Oreochromis niloticus: one gene and its partners. The protein of the gene in region 1 purifies or fractionates together with the protein of each later gene. This does not show direct contact. Links are inferred from orthologs where the notes say so. Each region holds a gene or a part of one and is shown in the gene's direction. Other genes may lie near its edges. The genes, in order: ezh2, trip12, phf1 and pabpc4.

What was found.
Region 2: the proteins of ezh2 (region 1) and trip12 purify together in Homo sapiens (affinity purification with mass spectrometry; 3 studies listed by BioGRID, with this or other methods). This does not show direct contact. The link is inferred for Oreochromis niloticus from reciprocal best matches to the Homo sapiens genes EZH2 and TRIP12.
Region 3: the proteins of ezh2 (region 1) and phf1 purify together in Homo sapiens (affinity purification with mass spectrometry; 15 studies listed by BioGRID and IntAct, with this or other methods). This does not show direct contact. The link is inferred for Oreochromis niloticus from reciprocal best matches to the Homo sapiens genes EZH2 and PHF1.
Region 4: the proteins of ezh2 (region 1) and pabpc4 purify together in Homo sapiens (affinity purification with mass spectrometry, with the first as the bait; 3 studies listed by BioGRID). This does not show direct contact. The link is inferred for Oreochromis niloticus from reciprocal best matches to the Homo sapiens genes EZH2 and PABPC4.

The regions. Positions count from the first base shown.
Region 1 is NC_031974.2:2,280,888-2,289,016, reverse strand, and holds the start of ezh2 (histone-lysine N-methyltransferase EZH2), read left to right. Parts: upstream 1-4,947; 5' UTR 4,948-5,366; intron 5,367-5,547; exon of another isoform or gene 5,548-5,725; intron 5,726-8,129. UniProt on the Homo sapiens protein: Polycomb group (PcG) protein. Catalytic subunit of the PRC2/EED-EZH2 complex, which methylates 'Lys-9' (H3K9me) and 'Lys-27' (H3K27me) of histone H3, leading to transcriptional repression of the affected target gene.
Region 2 is NC_031979.2:12,415,988-12,423,700, forward strand, and holds the start of trip12 (E3 ubiquitin-protein ligase TRIP12), read left to right. Parts: upstream 1-4,438; 5' UTR 4,439-4,587; exon of another isoform or gene 4,588-4,608; intron 4,609-5,325; coding exon of another isoform or gene 5,326-5,346; exon of another isoform or gene 5,347-5,453; intron 5,454-5,496; exon of another isoform or gene 5,497-5,630; intron 5,631-5,764; exon of another isoform or gene 5,765-5,896; intron 5,897-7,682; 5' UTR 7,683-7,713. Other genes in the region: fbxo36a (F-box only protein 36a), read right to left, coding at 2,904-3,050, 3,187-3,359, 3,519-3,627, 3,962-4,057. UniProt on the Homo sapiens protein: E3 ubiquitin-protein ligase involved in ubiquitin fusion degradation (UFD) pathway and regulation of DNA repair.
Region 3 is NC_031976.2:34,397,038-34,404,741, forward strand, and holds the start of phf1 (PHD finger protein 1), read left to right. Parts: upstream 1-4,595; 5' UTR 4,596-6,497; intron 6,498-7,103; 5' UTR 7,104-7,104; coding exon 7,105-7,182; intron 7,183-7,332; coding exon 7,333-7,414; intron 7,415-7,704. Other genes in the region: rgl2 (ral guanine nucleotide dissociation stimulator-like 2), read right to left, coding at 861-1,019. UniProt on the Homo sapiens protein: Polycomb group (PcG) that specifically binds histone H3 trimethylated at 'Lys-36' (H3K36me3) and recruits the PRC2 complex. Involved in DNA damage response and is recruited at double-strand breaks (DSBs).
Region 4 is NC_031983.2:27,564,532-27,572,588, forward strand, and holds the start of pabpc4 (polyadenylate-binding protein 4), read left to right. Parts: upstream 1-4,904; 5' UTR 4,905-5,326; coding exon 5,327-5,519; intron 5,520-7,760; coding exon 7,761-7,954; intron 7,955-8,057. Other genes in the region: zpcx (zona pellucida protein C), read left to right, coding at 1,839-2,258, 2,330-2,442, 2,511-2,584, 2,657-2,828, 2,913-3,018, 3,087-3,172, 3,244-3,320, 3,405-4,269 and 1 more.

The DNA.
Region 1 (8,129 bases):
TGACTGGAAGAAATTTGTTTAACATTTAAACCTATTTTCTGCACATTCCAGCACATAAAATAAAATATTTTTTTATGTTTACACTCACTCTTTCAAATAGATGAAAGTAAAACACAGCAGAAAATAAATAAAATCAAAGACTAGCGGTCCTGTTGCTCTATTTTCACCTGTAAAGCAGGACTGGGGTAGGCGGAGGTTGTTTACCCTGGTGCAGGTGTGCCGCGGCGGTCAGTGGAAGAATCCGCGAGTTTCTCTGTGAATTTCACATTACGTCGTAGTACACTCGGTGCTTGCTTGGAAGTTTAGGGGTTTTTTCGCTGTAAAAAGAAGTTTTCTTCCCACGCACAACGGACACTAATGTTTTTGTCACTTTTTATGGAATCAAACTCAAAATAAGGTCAGTACTTCCACGCTTTAAACGCTGCATGCTACACTCTGTCCCGCACTCCATATATTATGATCTGCAGACAGCTGTTGTCACGAACGTCGCACTCGCTTACGTCACTGTCATGAGACGTTCTCGCAAAAAATCACGGTTTTAGTAACGCAGTAACGCAGCGTTCCTACGTGAAAGTAACGGTAATCTAATTACCGTTTTTGCAATAGTAATCCCTTACATTACTCGTTACTTGAAAAAAGTAATCAGATTACAGTAACGCGTTACAAGTAACGCGTTACTGCCCATCTCTGGAGAGGACAGATGGTTTGAAAGAGGAGTGAAAGAGGCCATCTATGTCCACTGTGAGCGACCATCTTTGAACAGAGGCGGTGGTTTACGACACCAACTGTCTGCCATCTATAATCCAGTTTTGAGTTCCCTCCCCAGACGCCTTAACGCCCACTCACATCCTGGGCCATCTGACCTCAGGAATTCACATGACAAGGTGGGGCCAGGTTTCACAATGAGCTCACCCGAAACCCTGGCTGATTAGGTCCCACACCCACTTTCACACCTTGGCGCATGTGATTAGAGGATCACCAGGGGGTCCTTTGTCCCTCCTTGGGGGGATACTCCCACTGGGTTTAAATCTGGGACTCTCGGCCATTTGACCTTAGAACTGAAGAAGCTTCTCGGATGAGAGGTGAAACGTCTTCAAGCAACTTAAAGAAGTCCAGACGCTTTTCTTTGCAAACTCCTTTGACTACGATGACCTGGATGACTGAGAACCTTCACAGACATGTTTTGTAGTAGTTAATATGTCATTTTTCTTAACATAATTGGTGATATAGGTTACAAGCAAGTCTGGCGCTGAACAGAAATTGTCGCGCTGCTCCTTTATTTATTGTGCATAAATAGTGAATTGTCCTGACAGAATATTGCGTTTCGCTTCTGTTATTACCACGGTATATTGACAAAAACATATACTTTTATTCACAGGATAAAACAGTTGTTTTGTATCACTAATTGTCCAGTGCGATTACAACATACAATATTATTGTCACTGCTACATTTCTGTAATGCGTACCAGAAATTATTTCCACTACTAATTAATTACCGTTGAGCTCAAAGGTTATATTAATAAACGGTTAACGAATGTGTATTTATGACGACGATTTGTGAGACTGGTAAACTTACCTTTGTTTTTACGATGGTCTTGTGTTCTACACAGTGCATTTCAAGGTCCTGTACCCATCCGTCGGTAAACTGTACCTGGGCTTGTTGCAGTGACCTGAAGTTACTAAAAACTTCATGAGTGTATGCACTCACTCCAAGAACCGTATAATTATAAATCTGAGCGTGGTGAAAGTTGGGCAGCACACTGACGTCTTTTGTCCACTCTGTGTGCTTGTAAGGGTCTGACCCTTTCACTCCTTTGATTTTTTCCTCGTATCTTTTCTTTGCCTTTTCATCGAGTCTGTCTTTGTACGGTCCGGCATTATTCTCCTTAGTTTTGTACATTCCTTTTGTGTGCGGCAAAGAAAAACCAAGAATGTATTGGAACCGGAGAATGAACGTTTTGCGGTGCTGCAAATGCTTGCATTTGATGCGGTACTTGGATCGTTTTGCCTCGAGTTCCCGGCATGCATTGCGCGAAAGTCACGTGATCTGTCAATCGCTATAGGAAAAACCTTAAATTAAGACCAAGAACCCTAGAGGTGAGACATGATCATTAATTAATATTAAAATTAATAAATGACAGATTTAGTGATATTTTCATAAACACCTCCTTTCCTTTTTTTGTTCTCCATTTTCTTTAGTTCGTCTATAAGATTGCTAAACAAGGGGGAGGGTGCATCCGGCCTCCTCGGCTGTAATTGGTCCAGCCCAGAGTCGATCATGACCAATTGGCCAATCCAACACCTTTCATTATATATACCCTTCCTAAAAAAAAAATTTAAAAAAAAAATCCATCGGCCCATAAAAACAAGAAATCGCCAGCGGCCCACCGGGCAAATGCCCGGTATGCCCGATGGCCAGTCCAGCTATGGCTTCATACCTTTATATGTAAATATGTTCTCACACAAATAAATAATATGTTATTATTAAATATGTTTAATAACATAAATATGTTCTCTGTATAAAGAGCTAACATCTCCAAAATGTCAGCAGTAGTTAGTCATTACAAGAAGTGTTTTTGAGCTAAAAATCAAGAATGTGGGATACTGTTTGTCGGTGATTTGGAGAGCCCAGCGCTGCTCTTGACGCAGGGGAAACTAATTCTGTCGAGGAGACCTTCCTTGGCATTTATGCAGGTGAAACCAGAGGGAAGACATGCTTCTTCATATTTTCTAGTCTTTGGCTTGCAAGGAAGTTTGTTTGGAAACATGTTTGGCGATGCTTCATCTCCTGCTTTGTGTTTGTGTGGAAGCCCCGTCAAAAAAAAACCTGACCATTATGCTAGTAGTGTCCAAGAGTTCTTTTTTCTTTTCATTTTTTTTTTATACCGCACTCCCCTGCAATGGCTCTGCGCCCCCCACTTTGGGAACCTCTGTGCTGACCAATAAATAAATATAATATCTTTTTATAGGATGTTTATACACTCAGATTCTTTCACTACCTGCTCACTAACAGTAACAACACTATCAGTAGCAGCATAATCGGTTTTCAGGAAAATCACAAAAGTCTTTCTCCACTGAAAACAAAACAAAAAAATATTTGGACCTTTGAGAATCTAGAGTCTTATTTTTATAGATAAGTTAACGGAATTTAAACAAAAGCCTGGCAGATGGAGCTGCACCACCGTGACCACCAGAGGGAGCTGTTGTGAGATCCCACACAGATGAACATTAGAACAAACTGTCCTGTCAGTAAAGAGAACACTGGAGCACCTTACCAGTTATAAAGCAGCATGCTCCATTTCCCACTTTTTAGGGATTTTCTTCCCAACTTTTTTTCAGAAACAGTGCAAAACAAATACAAATAGCTGATGCATTATTGTCCCTCTCATGGTCTTATTTCTAATCCTGTTCAGTCTAAATGAAATTAATAACATCTTCAGCTCGGCCTCCTTTCTTTTTGTCACTGCCATCATCCCCCACATCATCACAGGTCTCGCTGTCATCTTATAAACCTTCCCTTTCACTCTTGATGCTCTTCTTCTGTCACAAATCACCCCTGACATTCTTCTCCACCCACTCCACTCTGCCTGCATCTCTTCTTCACCTCTCTTGTGCATTGTCTGTTGCTTTGGATGGTTGACCCCAGGTATTTAAAGTTGCCCATGTCACTATAACACACAGATCACCATTGTTTTGTTGCCCTCATACATGTTCTGCACCACATTCATATACTTCTCTGCCACTCCTGACTTCAGCACGCACCATTACATTTCCTCTCTTCCTCCCTTCCTTCTCTATACTTCTCCATCACTCTCAAAGCAAACATCACATCTGTAGTGCTCTTTCTCAGCATGAAGTCATGCTGCTGCTCATTGATCACCACCTGTCTTCTTATTCTAGTATCATCAACGTTCCATTTCTTCATGGTATGGCTCAACAACATTATCCCTCTGTGGTTGCTACAGCTCTGCACATCAACCTTCTTCTTAAAAACAATACAAGTACATTTTTTCTCCATACCTCAGGTATCCTCTCATTCTCTCCAGGATTGTGTTAAACCATCTAGTTAAAAAAAAAGTCCACCACCCTCTCTCCTACACATTTCCATCAGGTATGTCATCTGGACGACCTTTGCACTCTTCATCCACTCTGTTTACCAGGTCACCTAACCTATTAGTATTCCAGTCTGCTTTCCTCATCTCCCTCCCTAGTATTATTAAAAGTAATGTATAACGTATTTAAAAATCAATGCATTAAAACATTCTTATAAATTTTATATACATTTTTTGTACTACTCTTAAAGATTTGGAATGATACATAATTGTTTTGTAATGATGCTTTTAATCTGTCTGCTGTGTTTTCTGTTTCCGCTGGCAGTGAATGCATCATGCGGACATTTTCGAAGCGTCATCCAATCGCTGCTTGGAGGGGCGTGGCTTAATAAACTTAGAGACCCTTGCCCTTGCTGGTTGTGGCACTGTAGTCTCTCATTCATTCAATAAACCCGTTCAGCCTTCATGTTTTCATGTTTCCTTGTTCTGGACACACTGAGACGCTCACACACCTGCTGAAGCCTGAGCTGTTCTGCACGAGACGACGCGCTGTCTGTCGCCTCTCCTCTGCCCTTAAATCCGTCGAAAACCTTTTTTATATAAGTGTTTTAGTTTAGCCCCACGGCTGTGACAGCTGTTATACGTCAGAGACACCGCTTTGATTTCAAATGTGATGCATAAATATTATTAACTTAACTGTCAAATTGTGTATTTGCATATTTTGGTTTTTATTCCGTTGACAGGAGAGAACAAAGAGAAGCTGTCCACATGTCCCCGCTACAGGGCCCCCAGCTCAGCTCCAAATTTCATTGGCTACACGTTTATATCATTCGACCTATCGCGTAGGACTCACTGAGGAAACACTAACATCGGGTTCTGTGATTGGCCTAGACGTTTGGCGCCTCTTGAATCCGCCGCAGCCGTAGTGGGCGGTGAGGCGGAGGAGCAGTTTGAACAGAGTCGCTGTTGCTTAGGCGGAAACATTAAAATCCAAATAACTTTTTACAAGCAGGCTGACACCAAACGGTGCGACTGTCCCTCATAGACGCACAGCTTCTGTGTCCTAACCAGCCTTGGAGCGAAGGAGCCGGTTTGAGTTATTTTATTTGCCGGCTCTGGGTGCGTGAAGCCGGGTGTCGCGCGAACTCGGTCGCTCCCTCCTCCTGAGTTAAACTGCTAGCTAGCCACCGAGCTAACGTTACAGCTAGCCGTAATACGGAGCGAGCTAATCTGCAGCACAAAGGACGACTTTGCCCGTGTTTGTCGCATCGATCCGGATCGCTCCGTTGGATGAGGCCAGAGGCTCGGGTGGAGGTGAGAGAAGCTGTCAGTGTCCGTGGCTGTGTTCACGGGGCTTTTGTTGTGGGCTGCTCTTTGTGCTCTTGGGCGCCTCAATCTTTGTTAACTCGCCAACTGTTAGCTAGCTCGCCGGGGTACCGTGCCAATTCTTGTATCCCCGTAAATATTGACTAGCTTATAAAGAAGCCGTCGTCTTTTTTTTTTTTTAAATCACTCGGAGGAGGGTAATGATTCCGATGGATCCACCGTCCACTCGTGTTTTGGGACCTTTGTGAGCCTGTTTCTGAGCTAAGGGGAAGCACATTTTGAGGGGAGCCAAACTTGGCACGACATCCGCAAGCTATCGTTAGCTCGAAGCTAGCTCACAGAAAAAGGCTGGTACAGTTTTTTGATGTATAATTTTTAGTACCTCTCATTTAATTTTCTTTCTTTTTTTGTTCAAGCTTTTGAGGGTTTTATTGTGAAACTGGGGCTGAAGGTGGTGTTAAAAGTGAGTGTCACCTTAAGTTAGGAGATTGTCACATTGATAAAAGTAAAAAAGCTTCCCTCTTGTTTGCCTAGAAGCCTTGCGGGGGCGATATTCAACCACTTCCCTCACTATAAAACTCATAACATCGCCTAGATCAGAAGAATAGAAGTTTGTGCTGCTGACACATGACAGGAAGCTCGAGTTTCACCTGTTAGTCAGAAGTCATCTTGAGAGTCATGTGGCAGGTTTTGGGTAGAGCCCGACCTGTGCTGCTGGGTTTGTGAGGGGAGACAAGCTTGTTAGCTTGGTAGGATGGTGGGGTTATTGTGCTGTTTATTTGTAGGTGACAGTGGCTGCTGTTCATCCACAGACTGTACATAAAAGAATGATATACAGTACTGTGATAAATTAACTCCCCCCTTCACAATTTCTTATTTTTTTCCATTTGTCATAGTTACTTATTTCAGATTGTCAATACATTTTTATTGTTAGACAAAAGATAACCTGAGTAAATAGAAAATGCATTTTGTAAATGAATAATAATAATGATAATGATTTAATTTATTAAGAGAAATAAATCTATACAAACCAAGCTGGTCCCTTGTGGAAAAAAAGTAATTGCCCACTAAACCTAAAAACTTGATCTGCAACTCTTGAAGGTCAAATGTTTGCAGTGATTTATTTAAGTCAGGACTTTGACTAGGCCTCTCCAAAACATGCATTTTGGGTTTTTTGAACCATTCATCATCATCATCGTTAATTTGTATAGCACTTTAAAAACACACCCGGTAGACCAAAGTGCTGAACAATACAACAATAAATAATAATAATATAGAAACTTGGCAAGACAATAAAATTAATAAAAATGTCAGTCACCCACAGAGTTAAAAGCCAGAGAATAAAAATAGGTCTTCAATCTGGACTTAAAAACCGGCACTGATGTAGCCTGTCTAATGTGAAGAGGAAGATTGCTCCAAAGCAATGGGCCACAGCAGAGAACGCCCAGAGGTGGACTTGCTGGTGTGTTGGATCATTGTTCTGCTGCATAAACTAAGTGCCCTTCTCCTCCAGGATTTTCTGATAGAGAGCAGAATTTATGATACCATTAATTATGGCAAGTTGTCCAGGTCCTAAAGCAGCCCCAGACCATCATTAATACTGCCACCTTGTTTGAATATTGATAAGATGTTCTTTTGATGATGTGCCGTTAGTTTGATGACAGATGTAACAGGAATCAAAGTTCTGCTTTTGTCTCATCGGTCCACAGAATATTTTCATGAATTCTGAGCTCACCAGAGACAAGTGAGGCCTGCAGTTCTTTAGATGATGTTCTGTTTTGTTTTTGTTTTTTTTCCTGTGACAACCTGGATGAGCTGCCAAGTAATTTGGAGTAATTGTGGTAGGCCATGCACTCCTGGGAAAGTTCACTGCTGTTCCAAGTTTTCTCCATTTGTGGATAATGGCTCTTACTGTTTTCGTGAGTCCCAAAGAATTAGAAATTTGTATTCCTTTCCAGACTGGTAGATGTCAGTGACTTTGTTTTGCAGCTGTGTCTCTAGACTGTAGCGTGATGTGTTGCTTTTGGAGATCTTTAGCCTACTTTACTTTGACAAACAGGTTCTGTTTAAGTGATTTCTTGACTCAACAGGTCTGGGAGTATTCAGGTTTGGGTGTGGCTAGTGAAAGTGATTGGGACTTTCCAAAAAATGTGATTATTCCCAGTTTGTTCATGACTTAAAAGTGGGGGCAGTTACTTTTTCTGTTCTGAGGTCAGGTAATATGAAATTTGAAATTATTTTTGTAAAACACAGAGTTCACATTCTCTGGAACAAAAAGGAGAGGAAGCATTCAGTTTGTCATCAGTTCAAAGTCTGCTTCCATGATGATGTGGGGGTCCACTCGTGCCTATGAAACTAGAAATATGAACGCTGAGCCCGGTGCTGAAGTGGCCTGCCTGCAGTCCAGACCTTTCTCACCATAATTCATGCTCAACATTTGGAGGATAATGAGCCAAACAACACAACCAAGACCATCCAGACCTGTTGAGCAGCTAGAATCCTTTGACAGGAATAGGAAAACATTCCTCTCCAGAAAGTCCAGCAGCTGCTCTCCTCAATTCTCAGATATTTGCTGGCTGATTAGAAAATAGTTTTATAGCATTGTTGGTGATTTTTTTTCTTCCCTCACATCTGTACAGGAAAACCAAGCACAGTTCACCAATCCCGGTATATCCGTACTAGGGTTGGGCGATATGTAAAAATTTTCCAATCGTCAGTCCAACAATCTCTGATGGGCGATATATTCGCGCA
Region 2 (7,713 bases), on another chromosome or scaffold:
AGTGTAATGAAAATGCAGGGAAAATGATTTCACTTTCATTTGGCATCATTTCTAGGAGGGAAAGCAGTTTAATACATTTGTTTTTAGACTCTCACCACTACTTAAACCTTCCTCTGGACTAAGACAGCTAGGAGCGTTTAATCCAGCCCATAACATGCTAAAACTGCAGTAATGATCGCTGCCATGAAGGCATTTGTTGCATCACTGTAGTGTATCAATAAGTCCCCATACTGAGAGTAAGAAATAACTTGATGATAAAGAGATGGAGACTAGAATGGCTAGCTATTTATTGCTTTATAAAACATTAAATCTAATCCATGTAGACCATTTAGGTTATTGGCTGCTACCACCTTTTTCAATAGACACGTGTGATTCCATTGTGTGCAGAAACCATTAAGAGCTCTTTTTCAATAAGCTGCATTTAATTAATATTTATAGACTGCAAGAGGTTGAAAAGAGGAAGAACAGCATCATTTTTTACTGGTCAGACAAGTTTATAAGCTTTTTTTTTTTTAAAGCTTATCGAGATTTGCATGCCACAAAGTGGGCGGTACACCAAACAGATCATTCTTGATCACGATTGCCTTGAACTTTCAACACATATATACATATATGTATTTATATTTTCCTTCCTGGTATGACAGCTCTGTCCAATCATAGCAGCCACCTGTTGTTTTAGTTAGTGCCTGTGTGATTCTCGAATTCACAACAAAGAGATATTAGAAGTCAAATTAAAACCCTGGTTTCAGTATATTTTAGTAGTTTGTATCTAATTTCAGGTTTTCTCCTGCGTAAAACCTGACAGCAGATTCTGATGCTGGAAAAACGAATCATTTCTTATTTATGAGATTTAGCCCATTTTGTGGTCTTCTTATTGTTTTAACCTAAATAATAACTCATCTGTATGAACATAGTGTGCTGTTCACCTAATAAGGGTATCTAGGCTGACTTTTTTTTATTGCTTGGCACAATTGCTTTGGGATTTACGAGGTTAGGCCTCAAGCTAAAGCTTAAAGAGGCCTGCAAATGATAAGAAAATAACTGTCCTAACTGGAAGTTCTGTGCTCATATTGGTATTTTGTAAACATAACCCTGACATTACAGCTAGGATGTGTTTAAAAACAAAGTTAACAGGCCTCTTCGCCTCTGATGCTCAGTGAGCTCAGCTGCGGCCTGCAGGGACGCTCTTCGGGGAAAAGGCTGAGAGGAAAAGACTGCAGCAGAAGGCTGAGTAGGCCTCATTCTCATTCTCAAAGCATTCACACTCTTTAGCATACAAAGACATTCATCCCTTGGACAACTCATGTTGCTGCCGCAACAAGCACTCGTACTTTGAGATGCCTACCAAAACGTTTGTGTGGAAGGTCTTGCCGGGCCTGTCCCTTCGCTGTGGAAGCCTCTCTGGTGTTTGTTTAGAAGGAGGAGAGCAACTACCCGGCTCCCATTCTTCCTCTAGCCCGCATCAGGCCATTACCACTTTCCCTTCGTCACTGCCGTCTGTGGACTATGGCTCTGGCAGAGGTTCCCGGTTCCTGCTGTGCAAAGTTGCCTTCTGGAGGCTGCTGCTACTGCTGCGTCACTCCCGCTGCATCACTGACCCACAAAGAGGAACTGAGAAGGAGGGGTGGTGTTGTGAATGTGTGCAGTAAATGGATAAGCATGAAAAAACCCACACAGCCCTACACCACGCCAGTAATCAAATGGATGTGGCTGATGTCTCTGTGCCTCAGAGTGAGGCCTAGCTGTTGCTGTGGTATTCGGGAAGTGGGTCTGGGAGACAGATTCTTTATTGTTACGTAATGAATATTTTTCCTAGACCAGACTCAGCTGAGAAGGCGGTGTCAGGGGCTAATAATAGGCCATGGTACCCACCATTCAGGGCTGTATGCTGTCATGTCAGATCACTCCGGCACACAGCTATCATTTGGCCACAGAAATATTTGATATTGCAGGGAGGCGCGGTCATTTATGGAAAACTACCTGCAGTTTAACACGTGTTCTTCTTTTTGTTATAACACAAGGCTTACTTAGGTTTTGTTTCTTTTTTTTGGCATTCTTACATGACAATAGGACTGTATTATGTTATTCTTTTAACATTCACTATAACATGCCAGCTCTGATTCTAAAAGTACCTGTAAACAGAGAAAAACAATGCGTACCTTTGTCATATGTTACTGTAGCTTGCTGGTACAGGTTTCAGGAGAGGTAGGTAGGACCGCTGTGTCAGATGCCCTTACACACGCATATGCACAAGCTTTTAATCCAGAATAAGTAAGTTGGAGTCTTTTAGGCCTTGATATGGTAACCAGAACTACAGCACTTGTTTTGCACACGTTACCTTTACATACTTGATTTCCCCCCTCCTCCTCCTCCTGTCATCTGACTCATTTTGACGTTTTCATTGTGACATTGCTCCCTCTGCTGGCTGCTTCAGTGATCCCACATAAAGCCAGGCTGCCTTGTGTATGCAAAGACAGCGGAGGCTGGTTGAGGGCTTTCAGCAGAGGGCGCAGCCAGCAGTTCACCAGCAAATGTAAACAGGAAGTATGACATGATGTCAGCAGGACTTCAGTTGCTTACGTATTTTTCTGTAAGTCTGTTTACGTTTTAATTTCCCCAGGTTGTCATCCAGACACAAAGTGCCAATTTAATGTCATTTACAAGGAATCTTACACAACGCACACTCTTTGAAACAAAACAAAACTTGTAAGCAAGACTTTCCTTTGTAATGCAAAAGTACTGATTTGCTTTGGAGAATATTCACATTTTTCACAGACACACACACACACACACACACAAAAGCCCTCATTCATTACTGAAGTCTTTTTTAGTTTGCTAATGAGCCAGTGTGATTTTACTTGTTTTGGAACAATAATAAAAGTGTTTGTTTTTAAATATATGTTTTACTGCTGTTTTTTATCATCACTGTTGTGGAAAAAGGTTAGAAAGGTGCTCTTCCAGCCCATGGCATTGGCTATGTCCTCAACGTCCCTGTTAAACCCAGTGCAGGTCCTCACAGTCTGCTCCCAAAACTTCTCAGAGCTGAAGAGCTGGTACAATCCGGTTAGAGCACAGCACAACATACACGTGAACACAAATGAATTTGAACACAAGGAAAACACAATAGACACTAAAGCATTATTTCTGTATCATCGAACAAATCCAGTACTTTACCATTGTCCTCACCGTTTTGAATCTGCGTGACGTCTGTGCCAGCAGTGCCACATCTTTCAGCTCAAGGCAGTACATGATTCGGAGCATGATGTCATCAGGTAAACGCTCCAGGTAATCAAACTTTCCTTGACAGAGTGCTGTTGTGTAATCCAGGATCCTTTGCCCAAAAACAGCACCGACTTCATCTGCAGATGATAAGTCGACAAACACAGCCCTGCAGTTAGATCCTTGAAAAGTTTCGATGTCAAATTATAAACCCAAACAAGATTCAGAAATAGGTTAGAAAAGACTAGTATCAAGAACTTCATGGAAGGGGAGTGATGATTTCGATGAGGAAAACTTACACTGTAGAGTTGTATCATTTTGGAAGTCCTGATGAGATGTCCTCTGCTGCTTTGGGGGAAGACCTCTGCATTCAAGTCGCAAAGAAATCCTCCATGAGGTTAGTATTACCTAAATTTAGAGGGAAAAACAAAGATGGGACTTCAAGACTTTAATCCAGGAGACACTCTTGAAGTAGTGGCTACAAGATGCCGATATGCTACTGGAACAGGGCGAATGATTTTATTAAAACATCTTACTAACAAATCTTGCTTAACAAATAGCTTGCTATTTAACAAATAGCTTGCTATTGGTTAAGCATGCAAAATAGAAAATAGTAGCAAAGCCATATTTAAAGCTAAGAAAATTAAGCTAGCCTCAAGTAGAGTGATTTTTTTATTAGCACGCTTTATACAGTTACTCCTCGAAAGTCTGTTATATAAAGAAAGACGTCCTAATACGTAACCTCGTTTTTGGTAATGACAAGTTGAAAAAAATCCTTTGGAGGTGGCGGACCCTGACCACTAATTTCAAACAGTCTCTCCCCAAGCAAAGACGCCATTTTGGACGCAAATCTGTTGCCATGACAACTGAAAAGCAACTAAAACTGTCTTTGCACAACGACTCATGAAACGGACCGATTGCTTTATCATTGATGTTAGGTAATAATAAAAAGTTATGCGGGACATATAATTTTACAGATATGCTTGTTTCATATATGTCTGTTGAAGGGGGGAGGAGGAGGGTCACGACCCAGCGGATTGATACTTAATATTTGTGACAAGCTAATGTTACCAATGACTTCAGTGATTCAGCGACTGTCTCTGGATGTCTACAAAAATAGTTCAGTTGTCTTCATTAGAAACCCGTAGCTTTGTTTCGAAAGAGCAGCCGATCCAGTGCTCGCGCTCGCTTTGTTGACTTAAAGCAAGCAGACACAGAAAATAAGGAGCAAACTAGTCCCGGAGCGGATGAATCACGCGGAGGTATATTGCGGTTGTAGGCCCCTCAGCTGATGTGAAACTAGCAGTGGTAGAGAGAAAAGAGGAGCTGGTGCACTGTCTGTTACAACTACAACACTGGAACAAATAGGTAACAACATTATACCAAAAGGTAGACATTTTCACTGACATTTAAACCTGTAGTCTTTTGGGATTTTGACAGTATTCAACCTCGAAATACATCGGAGGAATGGGTGTTGCGAAAATAACTCGAATCCCGTTCCTGCTTTCCTGTTTTTTTGTGTGTCTAAAAGGTATCAGGGGCCATTTCTTTTTGCTAGTTAGCGTTTACTTGCTAACTGCTAGCTAGACAACTTGTTAATGTTGGGGAAATTTTGATCAAAACTGTATCATAAACACTGAATTGGTGCGGTGTTGCTAAAAACGCTGTTTTCAACACAAATCCTTTTAACCATCCTGTCGAGCTGGCAAAATGTTAGCCAGCGACAACAGGGCTCGCTAATGTTAATTAGCTGGCATGCCAAGGTTAGCTGGTAACAGCTATAACGCTCTTGTTTGATTAAACATCGTAAGCTGCGTGACAGTCCTGTAGCTGCTAATTCGGTCTCGACGGGGTTAGTAATGTGGTGTCACCTCGGCGCCCAGCTTAATTGAAAACAGCGAGGTCTTTTAAAGCCAATAGCCGGCTGTTTATTTTTTTTTTTTTGTCAGCTTACTGTTTGCGAGAGAACGGTCATTGAAGAAACCCTCGCTGTGGCTAGGCTAGTATTAGCTTGCTAATGATAACCTAGCCGTGACGCTTTGAATTCTGAGCAAGATACTTTAACGGTAGTTGAATGAGATGTTTGGCGTTATGTGTCCCATTTACCCAAGTCTTAACAAGAACCATGCGCTGTGCTGGCACGCTGTTTGTTAGTGGTCAACTTGTCTTCCTGGCTAACAGTAGCTAACAGGCTAGCCAGCGCTGTAGTAGTGAGAGGGAGGCACTGGCCTTAAGTCAGCTCAGAAAATATTGTTAGCCATCCTTATAGCTTACCAACATTAGTTAGTCTATCTGTACATAACAATTCGCGCTGACAGTTGCAAGGAGAGTGTAGAACTGTATCGACGTCGTTACCTGTCTAGGTGACAGTTGTGTATTTTGGATTTATTTACCCCCATCAATCGTAGACGGTGAGCTTGCTTACGAAACACAAACGTATTTCTCTTTTCTCTAAACTTGATTGTCAGCCCCGACCGCGTACACACACAGAGCTGTGTGTCCTGGCAATCCGACTGCCAACTTAGCTTGCTTTAGTTTACTTGTAGCCTGCTAGCTTTATTACATTAAACCGCTGTCGAAAGACGGGTTTTGTCGATGTTGCCTTTTTTCGACGTGAAGCTAGTCTCGGATGAACCCGATCGTTATTCGCCAGTTGGAGGGGCGTCTTTGCCATTTAGTAAGCATTATGTCGTTTCGTAACACAAACAAGCTAGCTTCTCAAATGTGACAATTTGTTTGGCTAGGGTACTAGCTGAATAGGTTGACACACCGGCACGCCAACTACGCATTTCAGTGTAACCTTTGCTACGTTAGCCAGCGTAACTTTAACTAACTGCTGGTCTGCAGTTAGCAAGTCTTCTAGCGTCTTCTCTTTTTTAGATTCACGATGTAAACGCCACAAGCTTCGCTTTTGGATGTGTGAAGCTTTTATGTATAAATAAATCGATACGATGGAGGTATTGTTAAAATGTATGGGGCTTGCTAGGATATTAAGTGGCTAAACATGCTAGCGTTAGTCGGTGGTGGTAGACAACTACGTCAGAAATATAGGCCTCTGTAAATCATGGGTATAAAAAATCGGACACTTCAGTTCTTGTTTTAGTTACGTGGTAAGATAAACTGGGTCGATGGTCTATGTGAGGCTGTAAATCATTTGATGAGCTTAACTAATACATTATACTCGAGTGGGGAACACCAGTTGTCAGAATGGACGAATAACAAAGACTAGGATGCACTGTCAGTGCAGGCCTAACATGGCCCAGTGAGCTTGGCAAGTGTGGCGTATTTTTATCATCAGTATCCGTGATATCATAGTTTAAACTGTGACTTAAATAGTCAGATACTCTTGAAAATAAATTAAAAAATATTTATTTAGGGATTCAATGGTTTTTGTCTAGCAAATAATGAAATCCTCTTCCTGTATGTGTTTAGATCAAGTTAATCAATTGTCTTATTAGTACTGTCACTTTATTGACTCCTGTGAGTTAGATATATACATTCACTTCTAATGTTAAAAAGAAAACTTCTGTACTATTCTGATCAATTAAACCGTTAAGATTGTACTGTACCCCTAACACTAAGCACACTGGATCAGATATGTAAATTTTATACAATGTTGTAGTCATTTTGAAGCATAATTGCTGTTGGCAGTTAGTTTAGGACTTAAACTGAAACCAAAAAAGAATTAATTTGTAGTCTACCGCATTGTGTGTTTATTTTAATTAGGCTGTGACCTTGGTTAATAATACACAAAGGAATCTTTTGCTGTTGTAAGAAAATTGTAAAATGATCCTTTTGATGATTTTAATTATGTGAAAAAGTTCCAGTAGTGCGTTCTGCCAAAGATTTAAAGGTACCAATGTGTAAAAATGTATTATACTGTGCGTAAGTAGGGTGTTTGGTGATAGCTTTATATTCATGGTGCACTGTGTGGGGGGAAAAACTCAAACATTTCAGTAAAATTTGATATTTGCAGTAAGGTTTAATGTTAATGGCATTGCTGTATTTTACTGAATGTTATTCAGAGAAGTATACATTTTGTTGTGACTGTTATTGAGAGATTAGGAACACGAACTGTGCTCTGTGCTATGATTTATTTATTTTTAACAGATCATATTGGGTCATAGTAATATAGTTAGCATTAAGTCTTTAAAAGTTTTTAGTTCCCTGTTTTTGATTTTCAGCTATGAGGGGATGTAGTTACTGGCATGTGGTGTTGCTGCCAGCCCCCACCCAGATGTTGCATCTTCATGTACAATCTTGAGAAAGTTTTGCCACTGATCATCTCAAAGGGGTCAAAGGGGTGAACCTGTAGTTCAGTGATATGCAATCTCAATAGACGGCAGCTTATTTTAAACCACAGACAACTTGGTAGTGGTGGTGGTGAGAGGGTGCAGGTTTAAGGGTGGTCTTTGTATTTTGTTAATGTTCTTTTGTGGTCTCTTTTTTTCCCTTTATTACAGTGAATGGTAGTGTCTAGAAAGGGTATGTCCC
Region 3 (7,704 bases), on another chromosome or scaffold:
ACCTGAATCCTTGAATCTCTCCCTTCCTAATTATTGTCCTCCATCTAGTTTCTAACCAAAATAATTTCTCTTCCTCGTCTCTTCCTGACTTCTCCACAGCTGGCGCTAGAAGCGGTAGCCTCGTGTGACTGTGAGGTCTGGTTACTAGCTGTTACTAGATGTTGCTGGTACTACTGTTCACGGTCCAACAGCAACAACAGCTAACATGTTGGTTTATTTGACAGATTTTGCTGCATTTATTATTAGTTTCTTTTTATTCTCTCAGCTTTTCAGTAGCACCTTTGACACTTCTTCCACACAAAATGTGAGTGCATGGTGAAGGTAGGGGAGGGGCCAGTCTTGTTAAGAGATTAGATTGGGCGATGCAGTGTAAGTAATGCAAATGAAGGAATTGGCTGCTGCCATTGCATGTGCTGCAATTGCGCAGTGGGCCAAAACCTGACTTGTTCAGGGAAAATGTTAATGTTTTAATCTCACACGTTTCTTTAAGCCACAAACAATTAATAAGTATAATGTCATTCTAATAAAATAGCAGGAAATAGCATTAGCTTACAGCATTAACTGCTGTATTATCCATCAGATGAATCAGCTATCCATTTAGCCAGTTACTACTATTTGCTAAATTTAGTCGTAGCTAGCGCCTTTATCGATGGTCAGAACACATTTTGAACATGTTGAAAGTTGTTGTAACATTTTAAGATTAGTAACAATATGATGTCGTTGGCGGGAGAGACAGGTAGCCAAGAAAGGTAACATTACACTGAGTAAACTTACATATTTTTCTGTGATTGTTGGGAACACCAATATACAAATATAAAACACCCATCCATCCATTTTGAGGCAAAGTAAAAACCATTCACCTGCGAACTTTGCACTTCAGCGCCAGCGGCTCTCCTCCCTGAGTGGCCACTTATGGTTCCTCTGTCAGGTGATAAAGGTCGATAGCCAATGAGGGGCACATCGTCTGATTCCACCCCTGGCAGGTTATAACCACCTGTACGTATGTTACGGGGGAGCATGGTGCCAGCTGCTGCAGACAAGAGACACATAAGAAATGTTTTAGATATTTCTTAAGAAGCTGTTGGAATGAATTAAGTACTAACATGTTCATTTCCTTATAACATAAAAGTATAAAATTACATTATTATCAGACAGTGGTGCTAAAGCTGAGGCAATGAAAGTGGATCACATCAGAAACTAACTTAAATTTCCACAACTGACTCATTTAACATGTCCAAACTCATTATAGAAAAGCACTGTTTTCCTTTTAAGCACTGCAAATCTGAAACAAACTGTCAGAAACACAGAGACTCTCTCCAACTTTCTAGGTTTTAGATCAAAGCTTAAAACTTGACTGTTTATTCCTGCACTGCACAGTACTTTTTTCTCAGAGCTTTAAAGCTTATTTTTTTTATCTTGAATTCGATTTTTCTTCTCAAAAACTAACTTGTATTTTCTTTATTTTGATGCTTTTTAATGTCTAATCTTAGACAGTTAGATAACAAATGTGAGAAATCTAAATGTTTCTATTTTCCAGTTAGGTTCTTCATAATATGTTTGTTTTATAAAATGAGGAAAGGCTGTAAGAGTGTACAGAGTGATGTCCCTAAATGTGTGACCACTGGGCAGCTGGATTTTGTACTTAAGGTTTGAAGAAGTAATCATCAGTCATTTTCAATAAATAAACTAACTGTAACTTTATGACGTATAGCCACGCTTGTGTGTGCCTCGTTATGTGTCTTCTTGAATCACCTGTGAATACTTTGCACATGTTAGAGCTCCACATTGAACAAATTATCAGTTATAGCTTTAAAAACTTTAAGATAACCTTTAAACTGCATTTTAAACAAAAGCAACACTCTATGGTTAATGGTATCCTGGAGTTGATTTGCTTAACACACTGACTGTGCTCTACAGCAGGTCTGGATTTGCATAGCAACCCTTCCTTCCATTTCCCTTTCCCCTCTTTGGTATTTAGATTGCCCTGAAGATAAACATCAAGTAAACACTGTTACAGGAAAAGAGGTGTTGAGCGAGAGAGTTGGTGGGTGTAGGAGTGATATGAGGGTGATGGAAATGTCAACCACAGACACATAAACAGTTATGTTAACCTGAAGAATTTTTATTAAAAAGAACACGTTAAAGTGCTCCGTTGTGCAGTTTGGTGTATTAATAAATGTTACGTGTGTTGCAGTTTCTTCTGACTTTTACCAGGAGCAAATGATACAGAATGGCTGTGATGTGACCAGCAACAGAACAGCAGAGTCTGCCCTGCTAGCATGTTCAGAACACCTTTGAGCAAGGCACATGACCCATCTGATTGTTCACACAGCTCTGGATCCGAACGAGCACTTAAAAAGTGTGTGGTCTAAAAATGCATTAATGGCACTCCCTGGTTTCCACTCATTTTGTTTTGGTTCTTTACAATTTGTGTAACACTAAACTTTCTCTTGCATAATGCTCTGTCTTTACTGCAGGTTTGTGGTGGTTCATTATATTCTTGCTCAAGAAAGCAAGTTTGTACCGTGAATAAGAGAGGAAAGGGGAGCAGGCCTGCAGGGGAAACAAAGCATTACCAGTGCAGCATATGATCTAGCTGACCAACGGTTGTGCAGAAGTCTGAAAGGCTGCTATTCACTGGCCTGACCAAAGCAAACAGCCACATATGACTGAGGTGTACACACATATAACGCAGTAACTAGGCTACAGTAAGTCACACCCCATAATGCCTATTTTCTGTTTAATAAATGTAGCCGTGGGGTGGTGCTACAGCAATGTACAGTCCTAATGACAGCTTCAGTCTCGATGTCGGCTGGAAGACGAGAATGGAGCCCGAAACTGTCAGGGCTGCAAAAGTTTGACGCGTGTATTTAAACACAGTAGAGTGACAGATGATGACATTTGCTTCCTGCTGCGAATCACTCAGCGACACGAAGGCCGTAAAAATTAAGAGCTAGGCTATAAAAATTAAGCAAATAGAGGAAGATAAATGAAGGAAGCTACAATTCAACTTACTGTTAGCGAAGTCTCATTCGCAGGATGTGCGCTATCCAACCGCGGTCAGCTCGATCCAGACTGCATTGGATGACCGCCGGGGCTGCTGGATCGGTGGCCGGCTCAGCTGAGGAGAGTCGCACCCATCTGTACCACCGTCACCGCCGACAACGACGAGGGAGTCTCCATCCTCCGCCTCGCCCCCCACCCTCTCTCGCCCCTCTATCAGTCTCTCCACACTGTTCGCCTGTCCAGCTTTCAGCAGCTGATAGCGCACTTTGGTCTGTCTGCAAACTCCCTCCCTCCCTCCCTACCTCCCTCTCTCCCCGCCTCTCTCTCACTCTAACGTCGCAGTTCCTGTACGTTGTGCATTCACTGCTTTGGCAACATATCCGTCTCTCCGGGCAGTTCCACCGTGTGGATAGCGATACACCGCAACCGCGTACGCGTCGCCTCCGGGGAAATGTTACTTCAAGGACCAGCAGGCAGACTGCGTGACCGCGCACGAGCACGTGTACGCACAACCACACGCAAACACACGCGCATTTTCTGTCATTTTGAAAGTCTTTCCATCCATAAAATCTTCACCTCATCTAAACGATCGCTGACTGCAGAAAAACAGGCCCATTGAATTGACTTTAATACTTTAATAAACCTATATATTACAATACCAATTATAAAGCAGTCCCTATTAAACTCATAAACCTAAAAGTAAGCCTGACCTCTGACCTGTCTTCTGTATTACCAGACTTCAACAATCGACCTTAGGCTTAGACATTTAAACTTGAACCCTCTAGGTTTGGGTCAAGATCAAACACTTCTGCAGATCTATAATTTAATTCAAGCAACTTAAAGAAGTCCAGACGCTTTTCTTTCCAAGCTCCTTAGACTACGATGACCTGGATGACTGAGAACCTTCACAGACGTCTATAATTTAGCTTTAGAGTATTACATACTTCTCTAGATTTTAATGCAGGCTCTCTGCAGTACACAAGAATTTTCACAGGTTGACCCTCATGATTGGCCAGTGTAGCTTAATGTGTAGAAAAATTCAGATTGCCCCTTTAAGCCTAATATAACCTTGAGGATATTATTGCTCTAATAGTTGGTTGCTTCAAATACACATCCATATTCACAATGCAAACCAAGACAGCAGACACTCTTGGGCATAATCTGGGCTACTTGTGGCACCTTTTAAACAATACATTCTTCATTTTTGAAAAGCCAACACACACACATGCATGAAACAGTCTTTACCTTACAAACCTGAGCTCAACTGATTTGATATAATTTTTTAATAAAAATCCCACCCTATTTGTTGGTCACTCCTGTGCCACCCCACTGAGAAATCCCAGAAACACACCTGTTCTCTCAACTGAACTCATCTGCTGATCGGTATTCACGCAAACCCCACAGAAACACCCTCAGGCCCATGACATTTAATCTAGACACTTTTAGGTTTAGCTTCATATTTTAAGCAATTATCTAATGCTATTTTTAGTGCATTCCTGTAGCGTCAAATCTTAGTATTTGCCTTCTCTGCTCCTTCAAGGATGAATGGTTTCATCTGTAAAAAGTAGGCCATGCTACCATTCAGATTACAACAGCTACTGTGTGACTGTAATGGCAAATGCATTTTAAATTGTGACACGGAAAGGAACTTGAGAAACAACACACCCATCACATGCAATAAAAACCCATGATGTCAGGGTGTTAGCTTCTTTTTTTTGGCTTATAACCTGTGAAGACTCGACATTACAGAGTCCACGAGCCATGAGGATTTTAAATGGTCTTCCTTTCTTATTATCCTACTCATATCATCATCATCATCATCATCATCACACCTCTGGGGCTTCTCTCGAACTTCACTCTGATCCTGCGAGTCCATGAGACTGACAGGCCTGATTGCAGTAGTTCCTGTTCTGGTATTTGTTCGCCACCCAGCGGCCACATTTGGAAAATGACACTGTACGCTTTCTCTCTTTCTTTCTTTTCTTTTCTTTTTTTTTTTTAATCTGCCAGGGGCCATTTTGAACCGCACGGCGGTGTTACCACACGCTCGACTGGTGTGAGTAATGTGCAAGACATAAACAAGAAAAGAAAGCAAAAACAAACAAACACAACCTTGGATTTGATGGATGAGCCTGCAGCCAAAAACAGCAAAACGCGCCGTTTGACTAAAGCAATTTAACTGTAAGAGTAATCTAAATCCCGGAGTGATTTAGCATTGTTTACAATTTAATAACGTGTCTGTGACTCTCTGGAAGCAGCTTTCCCCCGATGTTTGCCTTTTCTGAAGCAGTTAATAGGTTTTCAGTAACCATATATACTCAACAACGTGCATGGTTCATTCAAGACTGAACTCAGTGAAGCAGCCTGCATTGGATGTATGTCTGGAACTGGTGCAATTAGAGACACTGTGCATTTGTGCATGTTTTTTATCTTTTGTGAGCCATCAGACATCGCAGCCCAGAGGAGATGACCCTCTGGATATTTGTCCCCTTTGGAGTTTATTTTTTAGATAAAATTGTAAGATCTGGTTTATATGGGAAGTAATTCTCTGTGACGTTGTGTTGCAAGTCAGTGAGCTCATACATGCTTTAAATCTTACATTGTAGTATTTTCTAAATAATGTTTAATGTTATCCCCAAACTCTTGAGTAAAACAGAAAGAACGATCACACCAAATTCAGTTCATTCCTAAAAATCAGCACTGATAAGCAACAGTTTAATCTTCCTGCTCTGCTTCTACTGCTGAAAACTTTTCCCATCGGTTTCCTAAACTTGTCCGGTCCCTTCTTGTTCGAAACCAATTAATGAGGCGGCTAAACTCACTAATTGGCTACTTAATTGGCCCCTGTCACCGGGCGCGCTGCTTCCGCTGGCTTTTAGCGCACCGCCGCCCTCCTTTCTTTTCTCAGAAATCACAATCCCACCTTGTCACAGGGATTTAGGGTCAATCTCTCACACAGGAAGGTGCTCTCGCGGAGGACCCCCCCGCCACCTCTGGATCCCCCTCTATCAGTATCTCCCTCCCACTCTATCTCGGTGTTTTATGTCTGCGTCACAACAAGTCGGTCGAGAGCGAGAGGCAGGGATGATGGCGTCTCTGGCGGCTTGATTCCGGTGCTGCTCTGACAAACCCGCCTTAATAGCATCAGTAGGTGGTGACGGAGAGGGGGGAGAGAGAGCAAAAGCGACGGGAACATGACGAAACGGCACCGCGGAGGACGGACAAACTAGACTGAGAGACGGACGGACAGTCAGTCCCCCCCCTCCTCCTCCTCCTCTCCCTCCTCCTCGCTGACGGCTTGACTGACACACACAGGCGCTTGGCACAGACAGGGACATACATGCACATCATCCACTTTTTGCAAACACGCAGGCTGCGCATCCGAGCTGGCAGTAATTGGGCAGCGGAGACCCACAGCAGATGAGGGCATTTCATGTCCAGCCTGTCCAGGAATCACTGTGACCCCGACGGAAAGGAGTTCGACTTGACAGGTACCCTTCACCGGCCAGCTTTCAGTGAAATTTGCCTGATTTCCCTCTGATTCACAAAAGGCTACATACACTGTAATGCATCCTGCGTCTGTCTTGACTTGAGTGCATGCACTGGAACAAATGCTCAATGTGCAGAGATAATGCCTGCAGAGTCATTTGATGCATCTATTCAAGTTTTTAAGATGTTGGGAGAGGGGAAGACAACAGCAAAGTGCAGGGAAGATGTTTCAAGTAGCTGCACTGTGATCTTTGCTCATTCAGTCAAACTGTATTGCAGTAGTCATCATGCAGTGTTTTTTTTTTCTGTGTGTGTATGTGTGTTTGATGTGTGCAGTAATCATTTGTCTTGCTCTCTGGTTGTGTACTCACTCTCATCTTTCACTGTGGTGGATACAGGCTGTCGCTATGCTCTAGTCTAAAAGGAGGAGGATGGAGGGGGGGAGATTTTAACCCCTTTGCACTGAAGCCCGCCTGTCTCAGAAGCAGTCGAAATGCCGGGGCCATAAACCCCTCTGTCAGCAATGGCAGCAAAGTATTCAGCGAATAAATCGGATTTCCATTTCACATGAGCCCTGCTCTCTCTCCCCTCTCTGTCTCTTTCCTCAGGATGGGGGGAGTAAGTGAAGGAGATGATGTGTTGGCTCGATGGAGTGATGGACTACTGTACCTCGGCAATGTGAAAAGAGTAAGTGCATGTATGAGTGTGTATGCGTGTGTGACAGAGAGACCTTTGAGTGTGTGTATGCAACATGTGCGTGAGTGTGTTTGGCTGGATTTGAAAAGACTTCCATTTAGTTTTGTCAATCATTCCGCTCACCTGCTATCTCCTTCTCAGGTAGATGGAGTCAAGCAGTGTTGTCTGGTGAGATTTGAGGACAACTCTGAGTTCTGGGTACTGAGAAAGGACATTCACTCGTGTAAGAAAAACTCTTTTTTTCCCTCCCCCCCTCCCGCTTCCTTCGGCAAGAAGAGTAAGTAGCTTCCTGTTGAAAGAACTTTGTACTTGTTGGGTTAAAAATGCACCTAGCTTGAGCTTTTGAACACAGAGATGCTCGGATGAACTCGCAGTAAAGGTGTTTGCTTCCACTCTCAGATTTTGCTGAAGGAGTTGAATGAATGCTCGTCTGATTTGTTCCTCTTGTGAGCTTAAAAGTTCAAATCTTGTGCCTTTTCTCTCAAGATCTCTCAACTGTTGTCAAAGAAAAAT
Region 4 (8,057 bases), on another chromosome or scaffold:
GCCGAAAGTTACAATTTAAATTTGTTTTTGTTTTTTTGTTCTAACGTGTCTGTTATGTGTAGACAAAAAACTGGTTCCTATGAGTTAAATCCCTTTTTAATGATTAAGTGACTCATATGTCAGTGTTAAGTGTCTTAACAAATGTAAAACACAAAACAAAAACAACCAAACACTCTTCCAAAAATTGTCAGGTACAAGGACGGGACTGAAAATGAGTGAAAACGCAGCCAATGTTCAAAGAAAACCTTTGAAAGACCTCCAGAAAACCCAGTGGAAAAAAATGTCTCTTTGGAAGCTAAATGTAAAGAAATGAGGGAGGCTCAAGATTTTTGCACAGTACTGCATTTGCCTGCTCGAGCCTTATATTGCTGGGGAGAGACCTATGTTACAAATGTCAAAATTTCCTTACTTTGCACAATCACAACAATACCAGTGTCAAATAAAAGAACAAAGTGTTGGGCAAATGCTCTGTATTCAGTGGGTCTTAATCGATTAATCGGCTGTTAAAACAAAAAGCAGACACTCGTCTGTTCACAACCAGCATCAGTGGGGAATTAGTCACATTTCTAAATTTGAGATTTAGAAATCTCAAATTAAAAACCACATTCAGTGCCCTAAATTCAAAATAGCAAGCAATTATTTTTACCTTGTAACAAACAACGTCCTTATCTGACAGCCATCTCATGAGTTCTCAGTTAATCTGGGTTACGCGCCTGCCATGCATGACTTGCCTGGCCTTTAGGTGCAAGCATCATGCACCCAAGTCTCCTTTAGTCAGCTTTTTGACAATGGCTCCACCTAGATGAGGCAGAAGGTGGTGTGCTCCTGTTTATGTCTTTCTTTAATCATTTATAACCAATTTCCTCTTTTGTGCTATCCTTCAGCTCCTTTCATTCCCTGAAAGTATTCCAGAATTATAGTGTGATTTTGTTTTCTGCCATGTGTGACTACACACATCTAACACATGTAATCTTAAAACTTAAATCTCAAGGTTTGCTCAACATAGAAGAAGAGCCAGAGTTAAATTACATGTCTTTCATCTACTTAATAGAAATATATAATTTTGAAGATTGTTGCCTAAGAAAATACTATAACATAAATGCAAGTTTTTTGGTGTTATTTTGTCTACTTGTAGAAATTAGATTAACCCAAACTATCCAAGTTTTCACAGCTTTTGGTTTGTTCAGATTGTAGCCGAGGAATGGCCTGCCAGAAAACTTAACCTTCAAGTTTTCATGTTGTCACCAAGCCCACAAACACCTTACAAACAGGCATAATTCTTATATCCAGCACCATATTTTTTGTGTTTGGAGTCTACTAAAACAGTTTTTCATAATTTACAGTTCCATATAATCCTGATTTATCTTAAACTGGGCCTTGGTAAACTGGGGCCCTAACAAATTTCCCATGTGTGGGACTAATAAAGGTTATCTTATCTTGGTGCAGCTCTTCAGTGTCCCTCTGTCTGAAACAAGCTGTTTTTAGCTCGTCTCCATATAAAGCCACCCTGTCTTTATGCCTTTATGGAATAGCTCTCAAGAACAGGTTTAAACAGCAGCTGGTTGGGCCTTCAGTGGAGTGATTTCTAAAACCAAGTTCTGAACAACCACAAATGTGAACAAAATACACATTTTGCTTCATTTTATTTTGCATTTTTCACTAACAGCATCTTAGATGCGTCCCATCCAGCTGCCGTGGTGTTAACATTGAATACAGAATCATTTTGAGTCAGCTTCATTGGCTTGATTGCCAGCACCTGTCTCCACTATCGCTGCACCTTATTAATAACGCACTTGTCACAGGAGAATGATCTGAATTGTTGGTCCAGTTTGGGGCTCATGATGGGGACCATGCAGATATCTCTTTGTGTGCTTCTTAGTTGTTTTATTGCTGTTCAGTCTGTTCTGTATCACAATGGCAGATTCACCCAGGATTTTGTGGGAGTTTATGAAAATCGAGTGCCTTTTTCATTTGGAAGAAACTTTGATTTTACTCCGCAAGACACAATCTTCAGCTCCTGGCGATCCTGGAGCCCTGACTTTCACAGGCTAGCTGGACTCTCTCCCTTCCTCAATGTTCCCAGAGTACAGGTGTATTGTGATGCATCGACACTAACCGTGCTGGTTGATAAGAGTGTCGGTGGTCTCAAACTGACTGGAGAGGAAATACAGCTGGGCAATGGCTGCTTCAGCAATGGAGAGCTTGCAAATGAATTTGTCTTCACTTATGGTTTTGATGAATGTGGAACTGCACCTATGGTGAGAATAAAGTTCTGTTGCAGTTCTGCATCTTTTTATGAAGCCTTTACCAAAACTGCACCATCTTACAGGTGGAGGACGACTTGGAGGTGTTCACCAACACCCTGTTCTTGAATCTAAGAAGAATTTCTCCCACCTGGTGGAAAACTCCCTCTGCAGTCCACGTGTTCTGTGTTGCAAAAAGGTGTGCTGTTACTTCAATGTCTGCAGCTAGTCACCAACCCTACTTACAGTAGGTCCATGTATTTACAGGTTGAAAAATATGCCAAAGTTTAGCGACACAACGCTTCCTGAAAATGATGACATTAGCATCAAAGCCATGAGTCGTAAGTAATAAAACTCATCCAACGTCATGTTTTAGCTGCAGCTTAATTTGTAAACGCAGTTCTTTCCTGCAGCGTCCTGGACGAGCGCAGCACAGTCAAATGTCTACAAAAGAGGCCAGGCTGTCAATCTTCAGGTTTTGGCTAAAACCGGAACAAATCAACAGGTTTTCATCAAGTCCTGCTTTGTCTCTGTGTTCCCTGAGCCTCGGGCCAAACCAAGGCAAAGAGTCATATTTAACAAAGGGTAAGTTTTCAGTTGGGGGTTTACCTCAACTGTTTTTGTTATGTCTAACCTTCTAATCGCCTGTGATATCACTGCTTTCTGCAGGTGCGTAACCCCACTGGGTTCCTCCACTACTATAGTGACGTTTGTAGCCTCCAACACAGCAGATGCGGTTAATTTTGTTCTGAACACGTCTTATCTCATTTCTGAGGTAAGTCTCTCGAAACTGATTTCACTGATGTGCAGCTCTGAACTGACTTGTGTACTCTTCTCTACAAGTTGTATATCCACTGTAGCGTGCTGATCTCAGGCCAAGGTGTCACCCCTGGCTCTAAATCCTGCAACTACAATGTGATTGAATCAAGGTATCAATATTCACATAATGTATTTGTTTCTTTCTTTTTCAAATGTCCTATAAATGAAACTTTCCTTTCAGATGGGAGGAACTAAGTGGTGATTTGGAGGCATGTGAGTGCTGTAGCTCAAGGTGTAAAGGCAAAAACCGTCCTGGTGGTGAGTGTTTTGGTTTTCTGTCTGAAGGTGATGGAAGACAGAAATAAACTTTAGAACTGACTTGCTGCATGCATGTCGTTTCAGATGCCAAAGCTATGGTCAGCACTGGTCCCTTTGTCATTGTCGATGAAGATGGTGAGAGAACTCCTCTGCCTTCAGTCTCCGAACAAGAAACTGCTAACATCCCAAACTCCATGCAGTCTGCTCTTCCAGATCCTGCTGATGTGATAGTTTCTGCTGCTTCTATTCCAAGAAGCAAATTCAATGCTGGCCCAGAGGGTGTAGTGGTTGTGAGTCAGGACCCTGCCACCAGGCTGACGCTTTGGCTACCTGAACAGGTGCCTCCTCAGTCTGACTCGAATGACACTCCCACACTGCGTTCTTCAACCACAGATCATGAACCTCATCTGAATCCAACCAATGAGATCAAAGGTCAAAGTTTCAGTAGTCTTTCTCCATCAACTATGAATTTGCCAATTATGGTTAACAGGTGGAAGATTCCTCCACAACCAGCAATTCCAGAGGACTTGAAAAGAAAAAGCCGGTCTGGAAGATCTGGGAACTTTGACAGCAAAGAGGAACCGGTTGACTTTTCTCTGCCAGCTGAGATTAGTGTAAAGTACCTTATGCTGATTAAAGGGCCAAATCCAGCAGAATTGGACAAGACAGCTGCCGTAGAGGAATCCCAAAGTGAAAAATGGCTGCAGAATGAGATTAAGCACCCAAACCGTGATGACCTGCCCCAGATGCTGACCGATGGTGCTGTGATGCCTGAAGGAACACATGAAATCCCACCAATAACACGCTCCAAACTCACCTTTTCCAAAGCTGCTGATGGGTTGCAGACGCTGAGTTATGAGGAAGAGGCAGTGGTGCAGAAGAAAAGTCCAGTGGAAAGAAAACAGTTGAAACTAAAGGGGCTGCAATCAACTTTCTTGAATTTGTTGTGGTAAATGACTTGTTTGCAGTTAGCCGGCAGACTGTTTAATGCATGTGAAGATGGCTGATTTAATTGTCTTCTTTTTTTTTTTTTTTTTTCCTCAGGAGGATGAAGAATGCAGAATAACCACGGCTTACTTTAAACTTGTACTTGAGATAAATAAAACTGATGTACACTAATCTGATCTCATTACTTTTGCTTTTTTAAATAAAAGTTATATTTTTATTAGTCCTTTATTTATCCAGGTAAAAATCTCATTTCCAAGAGAGACCTGGCGTCATAGCAGCGAAAGCCTGAAATACAAGTCGCATCCTTTTTTCTTTTTCTCTTTTTTTTTTTTAAATGACACTGCCGACTAAATAAGGCAGACATACTCATTCACAACATTTCGCCACCGGTGCTCATTAGCGCATCACATTTATTTATTTATTTTTAAAGCCTGTTTATAAAACGCTCCATCCTGGCTACAGTGAAAGGCTTGTATTCCCACCCAGATGTCGCTGTAGGGAGCTGGGCGCTGTAGTTGGGACAGTACCATGTGCGCTCTCCCTTTTACGCCGCATGCTCAGTGTTTTTTCTACCCCAAGTTTGACCCTGGCCACTATTTCCTCCGCACCGTCACTCTCTATAAAGTGCCCATGCTTCCCCCCCGCAGTCTCTTTCCCCGGCCACAAAACAACCGTGAGTGCCCAACTCACTGTTCCTGAAAAACTTAAAATAAAAATAATATAAAAAATATAAAATCCACAAAATCTTAAAAAGTGCAGATCTACTTAAAGAAATAGAAACCTTTTAAAAAAATAGCAAAATATTATTTTAAAAAAACATAAACATCAGGCCTCCGGCTTAACTCGAAGTTGTCGTCTTTTTTAAAGGAAACACTTCAGAAGACACCGGTCTTTATCGCGCTGCTTTTTCCAGGTTTGGCATTTTCAAAACGCCCGATCAGCTGTCTGTGCAGCGTCTTTAAACCAAAGCGCAGTTTGGATCCGGATTACAGACCATACCGACATTTTTCTAGCGTTTTTAAAACGAAGCCTTGCGTTTATCCTCTGAAATCAGCGATATGAACACAGCGACGGGGAGTTATCCGATGGCTTCTCTCTACGTTGGCGACCTGCACCCCGACATCACGGAGGCTATGCTGTACGAGAAATTCAGCCCAGCCGGACCGGTGCTCTCCATTCGGGTCTGCCGAGACATGATCACCCGGCGGTCCCTGGGATACGCTTATGTGAACTTCTCACAGCCGGCTGACGGTAAGCAGGGATGGGATAGCTGTGCTGTGTGAGCACGTTGCCTCCACAAGGCGTGAAAATGTTGACATAGTAGTAATGCGTTTCCAGTCTGCTGTTGAAACCGTTTACAGAGCCCGAAATGAACGCAAATAAATTTGGTTAATGTTAATTTTGCAGTCTGAATTGTTCATAGCAGTTCTTTAGATTGGATCAGTTATTTGACCTACATAAGCACGTCCCAGTTCTGGAGTATGGTTGGTAATATAGCAGCCTGTGTGTGTCTCTAATGTAATTCAAGCCCCCAGAACATGCAGAGTTTAAACTGTCCTTAAAAGTTGGCCAAAATCAACAAACCATCCCCATAAATCACAGGCCTAGATTTGGGTATATGAAGTCTTTTCCTACACCTTTTTAAAAACCAAAATGACCCATTTCTGTGCCTATTTAAAGGGCCAATGAGTTGAGTGAAACTAACTCCCATTGCCCTCTGCTGGCATGTTCACTGAAGGCATGAAAGAGACAAGCACAGCTGAGCCCGCTGCACTGCTTGTTGCTTGTTTGTGCTGCTGGTTGTGTGTAAATTCACTGCAGATTCAAATGGAAAAATCTGATCCTGTTTCTATTTGAATTTAATCCCAGCTTTAATAGCTGGATTAGTTCACTCACACTGTTGGGTTATGTGTTATATCCTCACCACTTAAAGCTGTTAATCTGTCATGATACACAAAAGTGAACGTATATGTAACCGTATCAGCAATGTTGTTAAGTACCTTATGTGATAAAACTGTTTCCAGTTACAATGCAGGAGTATCAAAGCACTGAGCAAAGGTAGCAGGTGTTGTGGTTCTCTTTGGGGCCCGCTGACACTGTTTGTCCTATCAACAAAAAACACCTGTCACAGCTTATCTGCGCTCGAGTCAGTTACCAAAAGCCAAAGTAAAGGAGAGGTTACAAGTGGCTCGCTTCCAGGATATCATTCCGTTACAAACGTGAGAAGAGCCAAAAGTTAGAAGACACCATTTGTTACAAGAGTGTAGACACCAGGGGGGAGGGGGTGTTGGCTGTTGGACATTTAAATGGAGTCCTGAGCACGTGTCTGTGGGGCAGTAGCTTTGTGCCTGAACAATACAGCTACTAATGCAAACCTATAACAAAGCAGTTGTTAGTAAAGAGTGTTTCATATGAAACAGAGCGGTCTTCATGCTTCGCTGTGCTCCCTGCTGGATTTCTTAATGTCACAGTTGTATCTGTAAACAAACACAAACCCGGGTGTCGCTCTTCTGAGCATTCTTTTTAAACTTGTCTCTTCCCCATCAGTGGTAGAGAATGCTCTACTCATACTCCATGCCAGCACATACCTCTCAGGGCCCCTCTCTAAATATAGCTTCCCCCTGTGCAGCCCAAAACGTGCCTGCTCCGTAATGCTTAAATAAAAAGTGGTTAACAATAATGGGTAATTCAAGACCATTGATGGCTCTATTTTCTCTTCTAAACGACACATTTGATATATGAGGGCACAACAGAGGTCACTTTGGCCTTTTTTGAATAAAGTTTCCAACTCTGAACCTTCCCGAAGTCCCCGTTTTTTGACAGTGACCGCACACCTTCCCTGAGCGCACAGGTTGTGAAGTACAATTGCAAACCAAACTGCTGATGCCAGCAGACGCAAGGCAGCTCCGCTTTGTTTACCAGACACTTTCAGCTGGAAAGCCGTGTGTGTGTGCGTGCGTGTGTGTGCGTGTGTGTGTGTGTGTGAACAAAAGGATGTTTGGCATGTGCCCACATGATGTGTGAGGGGGGGAAAGTGTGCATTTGCCTGGGCCTACAGATCACAGAATAAAGGTCAATGCAAACATAATACTGCTCATCTCAACCACATGAGCTGATATTCTGATAGTGTTTAAATGAAGGCCTGCTGCATTGCTAAGTGGCATGTGGCTCAGCAGCATGTGGTTAATCAGAACAGGGAGACATGTGCTCCAAGCTAGCCCACTGCAGCTGCCCCCCACACTTTTCCCAGCTGCTTGCAGAAAGCTCATCAGCCTCATTGTCTGCTGCAGTACCTTCACCCCTTTGGACATGTTAACGGCCTGTTTTAAAGCATTTAAACTGTTTTTCTCTTTTATTATTATAGTGCACGTGTTAAAAATGGCTGCGCTATTATTGTTGCATGGTATCAGCAGATAACAGACCGAAGCATGACTGATGTGTAAATAACCACCAGGGACCTTTCCTGTGACCTCTCTGCTCTTCCTCCGGCAGCTGAAAGAGCTCTGGACACCATGAATTTTGATGTGGTGAAAGGAAAGCCGATCAGAATCATGTGGTCCCAAAGAGATCCCTCCCTCAGGAAGTCGGGTGTGGGCAATGTTTTTATCAAGAACCTCGACAAGTCCATTGACAACAAAGCCCTGTATGACACCTTCTCTGCCTTTGGCAACATCCTTTCCTGCAAGGTACAGTTGACATAACACTGATTTATTTATGTTTTTATTTATTTGCTGGTTTGAAATTTAACACATATATTTAAAAAAAAAAAATCATGGTTCCAACAGGAAA